Linked DNA regions of Drosophila melanogaster. The protein of the gene in region 1 purifies or fractionates together with the protein of each later gene. This does not show direct contact. Each region holds a gene or a part of one and is shown on either strand. Other genes may lie near its edges.

What was found. Proteins that work in one complex are often made in the same cells at the same time.
Region 2: the proteins of CG2063 (region 1) and sbr purify together in Drosophila melanogaster (affinity purification with western blotting, with the first as the bait; one study listed by BioGRID). This does not show direct contact.

Annotation. Positions count from the first base shown.
Region 1 is NT_033778.4:9,284,771-9,288,566, forward strand, and holds CG2063 (uncharacterized protein), read right to left. Parts: upstream 1,865-3,796; 5' UTR 1,738-1,864; coding exon 1,645-1,737; intron 1,579-1,644; coding exon 833-1,578; intron 825-832; exon of another isoform or gene 769-824; coding exon 630-768; 3' UTR 540-629; downstream 1-539. Other genes in the region: Cog6 (component of oligomeric golgi complex 6), read left to right, coding at 2,078-2,167, 2,226-2,857, 2,913-3,133, 3,193-3,796.
Region 2 is NC_004354.4:10,844,054-10,849,062, forward strand, and holds the start of sbr (small bristles), read right to left. Parts: upstream 3,040-5,009; 5' UTR 2,536-3,039; coding exon 2,439-2,535; intron 2,375-2,438; coding exon 2,214-2,374; intron 2,147-2,213; coding exon 2,054-2,146; intron 1,029-2,053; exon of another isoform or gene 867-1,028; coding exon of another isoform or gene 1-866. Other genes in the region: CG32669 (uncharacterized protein), read right to left, coding at 1-866; Pgls (6-phosphogluconolactonase), read left to right, coding at 3,447-3,585, 3,717-4,192, 4,312-4,428; CG2202 (uncharacterized protein), read left to right, coding at 4,842-5,009. UniProt on the Drosophila melanogaster protein: Mediates the export of the majority of mRNAs from the nucleus to the cytoplasm. In ovarian follicle cells, plays a role in transposable element silencing regulation by enabling the nuclear export of flamenco (flam) transcripts and subsequent piRNA biogenesis.

The sequences.
Region 1 (3,796 bases):
TTTATACAAATCTTAGGCTATCTCGCTCACACACACACACACTCATTCGGCTCAGATCGAAAAATTCTTTTGCTGTTGCTGCGTTGTCTTCTCTCTTTTCTCTCGGTGTGTGGTTGTTGTTGCTCTGCCCTGTGTTGTGTTCTCCAAATTTTACTCCGAATCTATCAATCGAATTAGGTATCACGCACTCCTATTTTCAAATCATAACGCCGACTGCTTCCAATAAATAAACACTGTATTTATTTGTGTTTTTGTAATTTAAAACGCAAAAGTACAACCCAACACACACGGATGTTCGAGTTACAGCCAGTGTGACCGCGCCAGAGTGAGAACAATATGCAGAATAGGTTTTAAATATACCAAGAAAATACCATTGAACACTTTCGTATGTGATGTGCGCACTTGGGGTATTCCTAAAACTGAAGGTAAACAAAATGTATTTAAAAACAGCGATGATTTTTACATATTATTTGTTGTTCATTATAACATACAGTGTAAGCTGTCAAGAAACAGAACATAATAAAAACCAAAGACCGTGTAAAAAAGGAAAAACAAACCCAAAAAAGGCTTCTATTGAAAGCCTTGGGATGAGAATGTTTAAAACTAAATGTTTATTTAAAAATTAAAATCTAAACGGCTGGCTTCTTCGGCAGCGATCCAAAGGCGGAAATGACAGTGCCCTTGGTGCCCGTAACCGTGGTGGTTAGAGCCGGAAGAGTGGTCTTAACAACGGTTGACGAAGGTGCCGGTTGATCCCACTTGGATTTGCTGCAGGACGAAGTCGAATTAACAAATGAATTCAATAAATACAGTAGATTAAATGCATGCTTACCGCTTTTTGGCCTCCTCCTCGACTTTCCGGGCCAACGCAGTGGCCTGCTCCACCTTGTCCATGTCCTTGCGATCTTTCTGCCGCTTCACCATCTCCGTTTTCTGGACCGCCGCCAAGGACTCGTAATAGGACTCCTCGCCCCACTGCAAAGGATCATAGATCTCGGGCGGATAGTTGGTACCGAACTCGTTGATGTCGCAAAAGCTTATTAGTTTGTCATATATGCTGGGATTGCGAAATTCCTTGCGATCCTGTATTACGCGATTCATGTCCATATTGGTCTGGTTCATCTTTGTGTACATTTTAGTGATTTTGGCCACTAATTCGGCGGACGGCTTCCCCTTTGGCTCGGGTGGCAGCTGGAACTTGTACTTGGCGTACTTGGCATCCTTTTCGTAGCTCTCAGCCGTGCGTTCTTCGACCGGGAAACATGCCGGCTCCTCGTCCACCTCCATGGGCGTGTCCCCGTCCTTGGAACCACTACCAGCATTGCTTTTATCCTTGGCTTTGGGACTGTCTTCGCTCTGGGAATTGGAACTATTGCTCTCGTCGCCACTGCTGGACTCCTCTTCACTAGAGGACGCTGCGGCGCGGTCCTCGTCCTCGTCAGAAATCAGGGTGTCATCCTGGTAGCTCACCAACCGACGCACCTTCTTGGCCCGCTTCTTTTTCTTCTCCTTAGATCGCTTGCTTTCTTCGTCCTGTTTGGTGGGCGTCGGCGTGGGTCGCTTGGGCGGTATGATTACCTGGGTATTGAGAAATGCATTTAGTGAGATTATAAGATTTCGACTAAAGTTAAGGTGAAACTAAACCAGGGACGCCGTGGAGTTTTGTGAATCCGGACTAGCATCGCCCTCGTTCTCGGAATCCGTGTACTGGGCAGTCAAGCTGGCCAGGGCAGCCATTTAATTGGATGTATTTAAAACTTAGATGACTACAACTTATTTTAAGAAATTGTTTTTAATTTGTCGAAAACGCAACTGTTTTATTTTTCTATAACATGTGAACCAGGGATTCAGTAAATATTATTTGGTATTTTTGGGGTAAAGTAAAGTGCGATCTAAAAAATGTTGCCGTTTCAAACATTTAGTAGCTATGCTTTGATATTGATAGCTTTAAATAAAATTAAACATATCTTTAAAATAAAATTAATAAAGGAGATATTACATCTGTTCATTTAGGTCTTAAGTATTTTTCAAACTTATGTTTACTTTTCGCGCACCTGGCCACTCTCAACTGTTTAAGATGAGCTCGACGCAGGAAAAACCGGAGGAGCTGGACAGGATCCAGAAGAGGGTCAACAAGATCCTTGAGGCTCGCCTGGAGTCGGACAAGGTCAGTGCCCAATTTACCCAAGCTTGGCCAATAGCGAATAACCGCGTTACGGTTCCAGGACACATTGGATGCTCTGAGTGGTCTGTCCACTTTCTTCACGGAGAATACGCTGCAGAATCGCAGGAATCTGCGTAGCCAGATCGAACACCGCTCCGTGGGCATCAACGAGAACTTTCTGAAGGCCTTCCGCCAGGTGAAGCTCTCGCTGGATGCCGTGTGCGAAGATCTGGACACGATGGCCACGTCAGTAGAGACGATGAAATCGGATCTGGAGACCTCAAAGGCGCTCACCAAGGATCTGATCAAGCAGACCAACACCATGCAGCGGGAGAGGGACCGCTTGGAGGTGCATAAGCAGATTGCGCAAGCTTTTCTGGCTCGTTTTCAGCTAAGCGGAGCCGAGCACCAGTTACTATATGGCGCTGCCAAAGATGCACCCATTGTGGCGGACTTCTTTCGCGTATTGGACAGAGTACAAAGCATTCACGCTGACTGCCGGCTGCTGATGCAGTGTGGATACCAAACAGCAGCCATCGACATCATGGAGGAGATGACATTGCATCAGGAGGGCGCTCTGGAAAGGCTCTACCGATGGACTCAGAACCACTGTCGCAGTTTGGAAAACAACGAAATAGGTCCGCTGATTGTGGAAGCCATGAGCCGGCTGCAGGACCGTCCGGTGCTATTCAAGTGTGTCCATTTTGTGGACTTTCCTGTAGCATTTATAAAAGTAATTCCTTTGCAGATACGTCATTGACGAATACGCCATTGCGAGAAGAGCGGTTTTGGTGCGTCAGTTCATTGAGGCCTTGACGGAAGGGGGTCCTGGAGGGAACCCCAAGCCCATTGAGCTGCATGCCCACGATCCGAAGAGATATATTGGCGATATGTTTGCGTGGCTGCATCAGAGCATTCCCACCGAAAAGGAGAACCTATCTTTGCTGTTCAAAAAGTGCGATAAGCAGGGTAAGATAAGAAAATGCATACATTATGGCACCAAAATAGTGCTCTTCGTTTTGCAATAGATATTTCCGACCAGCTGCAGAACGCTTTGGGCTACATAGCCGATGGAGTTTGTCATCCTCTAAAGGTTCGAGTGGAGACGATACTGCAGGCGGAGAAGGACACTATTGTGTTGTTTACCATTTCCAATCTGTTACGCTTCTACCAGCAAATAATGCGCCAGGTGGTGCAGGGCGGCAGCCTGGAGGAGTGTTTGGTGGAGCTTCAGAAGAGCAGTGAGCAGATCTACCTGGGCGCCTTGGCTGCCCAGGTGAGAAGTGTTTTGCAGCGTCCCTCTGGAGGATCGGGCCTGGCCTTGGAACCGCCGCAAAGGGATCTTGTACCGCCGCCAAGCGTGGCACGTTTGCTAAATATGCTCAAAGAGATTCTTTCGGTGGCCACCATGGTCGATGGCCGGCAGGCCGACATAACAAAGATCGTGAGCTGCGTGATAGATCCGCTGCTGCAGTCCGTGCAAGAAAGTGCTGCCCATCTGCCCACCGTGGACATGGGTGTGTACCTTTTGAACTGTCTGCATCACATGCAAAGCTCGCTGGCTGTCTACGAATATATGGATGAGCGCGTGGAGCGGCTGCAGGCGCAGTCGGATGCCCAGTTGGACACACT
Region 2 (5,009 bases), on another chromosome or scaffold:
CAGGTGCTCAGACTAAGCAGGCACAGAATGGGCAGGCACCACCACAGGGCCGCTCGAGCGGCACTCAAACTCTTCACCGCCATCAGGCGCTGGACCTGCGTTTGATTCACACCATAGATGGCCAAATAGGTGGCACATCCGCCTAAAATCTGGGTGAACCAAGTGTGACGTTCCGTTGGATCCACACTGAAGTTGGTCAGATTGATGCGTCCGTTTTCCTGCGCCACGCGCCATATCACCTCCAAGCTGCCCGCCTTCACCCAGGCACAGATGATTACACTGAAGACAGCGGCGAACATGAGGAGCGACTGATAGATGTCCGTGATGAGTACGGCCTTCATTCCGCCGAGCGTCGCATAGAACGTGCACACGACTCCAACAATTACGATGGAGAAGACCTGGCTCAGTCCAGTGACAGCTTCCAGGGCCAGAGCCGGCGCATAGACCACAATGCCCATGTATAGGACCATCTGGAGCGAGAAGCTCAGCGAGGCGGCCAATCGGGTGGCATAGCCAAACCGCAGTTCCAGATACTCGTACACACTGGCCGTCTTTAGGCGATAGAAGACCGGAATGATGAGGTAGGCGGCCACCGGCGTGGACAACACATACGACAGATTGATCACGACGAACATTGTACCGTACTGGTAGTTCTCCATGGATACGCCCAATATGGTGACGGCCGACATGAAACTGGCCATCAGGCTAAAGGCCACAGGCGCCACGTTCATGGAACGATCCGCCAGAAGATATTCGGTGGTGGTGCTCTGCTTGCCGCCCACGAAACGGTAGTAGATGCCAATCGCAACGGAGATGATCAGCACCACCGCCAGGATCGTGTAGTCCCAGGCGCCCAAAGTAGCCATTGCAGATGCCGGGTTTTAAGTGGGGCACGTGTTAGGCTGATTTTCCCGACGGAACCCTAGTCGCACATCTAATCACTCCAAACTGATAAGTTGCCCCTAATCGGGCCTCTTGAGATTCAAGCGATATATTCTATGGGGCGTCGGACGTTGGAACACGTCTTCACCGTCTGCCGGCCGTCGATGAAATAAAGGCCCAAACGGAATGAAACCGCAAGCTTTTGTTGGTGGAGAGTCAGCATTGGGCATTTTACTATGGCATTTACGACCCCGTCGAGAGATAGCGACCTGTTGTGTTGCACCACGTGCGGCTGGATAGGGTGACAACCAGGCGAAGGATAACCCAACCGCAGGCCCGCAAGCCCTTAAAATGGGAAACCATTTAGGTGAGGGTCATGGCAACTGTCAAACCACCAAAGGCTCGACTTCATTGCACTTTTAGCTCGTGCCGACAAACACTTGTGGCTGGTACTGTGGACGACTGTGTTTAGCCATCCATAAATATTTATTTGCCCGCTCGTCGGATTGCAATTGTAATTGTAGTACCCGATTGTCGTTAGCTGTGTAGAGCTGGTATCCCCCCGGCCCAACTTTGGCTTGTTTGCTTTACGATTTTTACGAGGGAAATTAATTAATAAACACAAAGAGCCCAGTCGGCAAGTCGGCATTGGAGCTTTGGAAGCAGTGTACAAATAAACAAATAAGTCTCAACATTTCGCTGTAACTTATGCGATTCTTGCCGGATACTTTGCTCCCTCAACGCGATCTTTTGCCAATAACAAAAAAAAAAAGCCATCAGACGAATCACATGATGTTCTTGGAGACCAAAAATAGTTCTATGACTGCTGTCGTAAATCTGGTATCTATATGGACCAGTCTGGGGTTTGTAGTTCTATGTAGGGGCGGGAAATTAGTAGAGCACTGGAGCAAACTTCTGGAAGTTTTATGTGACGTTAGTAATCTAAATACTTAAAACTACATTTAACATATATGTACTTCGCATAAGAAGAGCCATCCAGTAGAACAGTCGATTAATTTGTATAATGGCGAACGTTATAAATCTAACAGGTGCTGGAGGACTGAATGCTTTTGCTTCTTTAGCTTAGTAATAAAACTACTATTAAATCACATGATTTTGGTCTGGGCCATTGCGGCTATGATATCTATATGACATGGTAGTCCAAACTCACCGTGACTTGGTACCAGCCAAAGCTGTTGGGCATCAGTTTGCCGAACTTGCCGCGCGGAATGGGCGATCCCCGACGTCGGGAGGTGGGTCTATCCTGTTGGAATTAATTATACATTAGATTAGAAATGTGCATAGGGATAACATGTGGGGTTGGTGGGCACCTTAACGGCCGTGGTCATGTCGCTCATGTCATCATCCTCGTCCCATCGACGCAAATCTTCGGGTCGCAGCTTGATGTCCTTTTTGTTATGTAGACATTGGGAGGGCTTAAAGCTGACGCGCCGCTTGTTTCGATCCTTGCGTCGCTGGCGATCCTCCACATCTATAGGAATACATTATATTTAGGTTACTGGAGGGTTCATTTTCTTGCACTCCCGTGTACTGACCAAAATCATCGAAATCCTCGGGAGCGTTGTAACGTCCGCCGCCATTTCCAACGTTGTTGTTGTACCGCTGGCTACTGCCACCGCCGCGTTTGGGCATCTTACTAATATTCACTCAAAAACGTATGCAACAAAAAGATATGCGAATTTCAGCACGTTTTTAGCTGAGTGGTGTTGTGTGTTTGTGTGGGTGCTGTTGTTATTACTGAGAAAACTGTCTTGAGGGCAAAAAACTATGTGCGATGTATTTTTTGCATTCACACAAACTGCTGCCAACTTCTGGAAAAATTTTTCTCGACTTCCTGAACCTATTTGCTAATATAGCAGCAAAGTAGCTGCTGTTTTTTGGCAAATTTCCACGGCCAAAGTACAACGCAATTTTGTGAAATTTAATTCACTAGCGATCTTCTTTCGATAGCCAGTGGCCGATGGTTGGCAGAAACTGGACGGATGTTTGCGACCTTTTTACAAGTTATTCTTCGAGGAAATTTGATTTAATTGCCACCAAAGCGAAAAAGTTACGAAAACTAACTAGAAATATGTAGCGAGCGAAGTATATTCGCTTGATGTTGATATTGTTTTCTTAATTTCTGACAGGTCTATCGATGATGGCGGGCCAACTATCGCACAGGTCGTAATCAGTGATGACACTCTAGCGCAGAACAACCGCGATAAATCTAAAGATTATTGGCTATTTTTTGTTTTGTTGCAGTTAAACTTTAGAATGCAATATTATTTTATTGGACTGTTTTGAAGAGAGTTACCTCATTCTTACTTTAAATATTATATAGTTGTAGCACACACGTACACACTCCTTTTTTGCTCAATATCAAATAAGTTGTTATTTTACGAATAGAGGTAGTGAAATGTTTTCGTATAAGATTTACTTACTTTCATTTTGTCGCAAACGGTGCAATGTATTTCATAAATTGGTAATCGATAGTTGAGAGAGGGAATGGTGATTACTGACAAATCGAAGTCGAGTCGAGTTTTATTATCAGATCAAGCAATATGTCGGAGAAAAAGGGTGCGCTAAAAGTAATCCCGTCCGCTTCGGAGGAGCAACTTGTCCAGGCCCTGGGCGATCTTCTCCAGCGCTGCTCCCAGGAGGCGCTGGCCAAACATGATAAGTTCAGCGTGGGACTTTCGGGTAAGGATCAACGCACAGGTCATGCAGGTCAAGTGGGTTGGCTTGTGATAAGCCAAACTTGAGGGGTGACCTTGCCAGGTGCGATCTTTAAACTTGTGCTCCCAAAGTCAAGTGTCTTGTTTCGCTTACAGGTGGTTCCCTCGTCCAGTTGCTAACGAAAGCCCTGAAATCGTGCAACTTAAAAACGGCCAAATGGGTGTTTTTCTTCTGTGACGAGCGGTATGTTCGCCTGGATGACAGCGATTCCACCTATGGTGCCTACAGGGCCGAGTGGCTAACCCAATTGCCCTGCATCCAGGAATCCCAGTTCGTCCGCGCCGATACCAGCCAACCGCTGGACGCCTGCGCCGCAGATTACGAGGCGAAGGTCAAAAGTCAAGTCGATCGCTTCGATCTGCTGCTGCTTGGCATGGGACCCGATGGCCACACCTGCTCCCTCTTTCCCGAGCAGCCAGCCACCCTGCAGGAGACCAAGCGCCTGGTTATCCCCATCCGGAACTCGCCCAAGCCGCCTCCCGAGCGGATCACTTTCACCCTGCCGCTGATCAATAAGGCACGGAATGTCGCCTTCGTGGTTACGGGCGCCGCAAAAGCCAGTGTCGTCAAGGTGAGGTCTCTTTAGCTTGATAAGATGGAAAAGAATATGAGCAAGAAATCTGATATTTTTAACCACAATTCAAAAACTTCATTTGTAAGGTTTATTTTTGTTGTTATTATATTTTTTAGAGTGTGTTTGTCGATCTGGACAAGAAGTTTCCCGCTGCGTGGGTGAATCCGACCAAAGGGCAGTTGACATTGATTGTGGACGCGGGTGCTGGAAAAGAAATTGAAACCTTAAAATGACATTCCTTAGTTAACTATCGCATCTTGTAAATAATAATTACCTTGATAATCTTTTCGAGAGCGTTTAATTTGTTGAGCTATTAAGGTTGGAGAAAATAAATAAACACTCCAAATATTGTGATTTTACAATTATTTTTGAATTTCTTTATATATTTATTTAATGTTTAGAAAATGTTTGTAAAATGCAAATCTGGTTTAAAAAAGCTATCGGCAACATGAAAAATATCGATATTTACGCAGTGTGGCCGAACTCGGTAACACAACAAATGGCGCACCCAGTATGACGGCACTCGCGAGCACAACAAACGCTTCGTATTGTTAAAATAAAAGAAAAATTATGAAAATTCAGCAGCAATTGTGCTAATTGTCGATGCCCACATGCAATAGCAAAGATCGAAGGACGCGCAACAGCCATGGCAACGCCACAGCCGCAGCCGCAGCTGGAGTTGGGTTCGTGCCAGGAGGCGCAAACTGAGCCGGCGGTCAGCAAGTTGGTTTCCCAGTTAGAGCCCCTGACCACAATGGACACCGTGGACGCGGAGCGCGTCTGCCGCGTGTGCCTAAAGGATGTATCGTTGGAG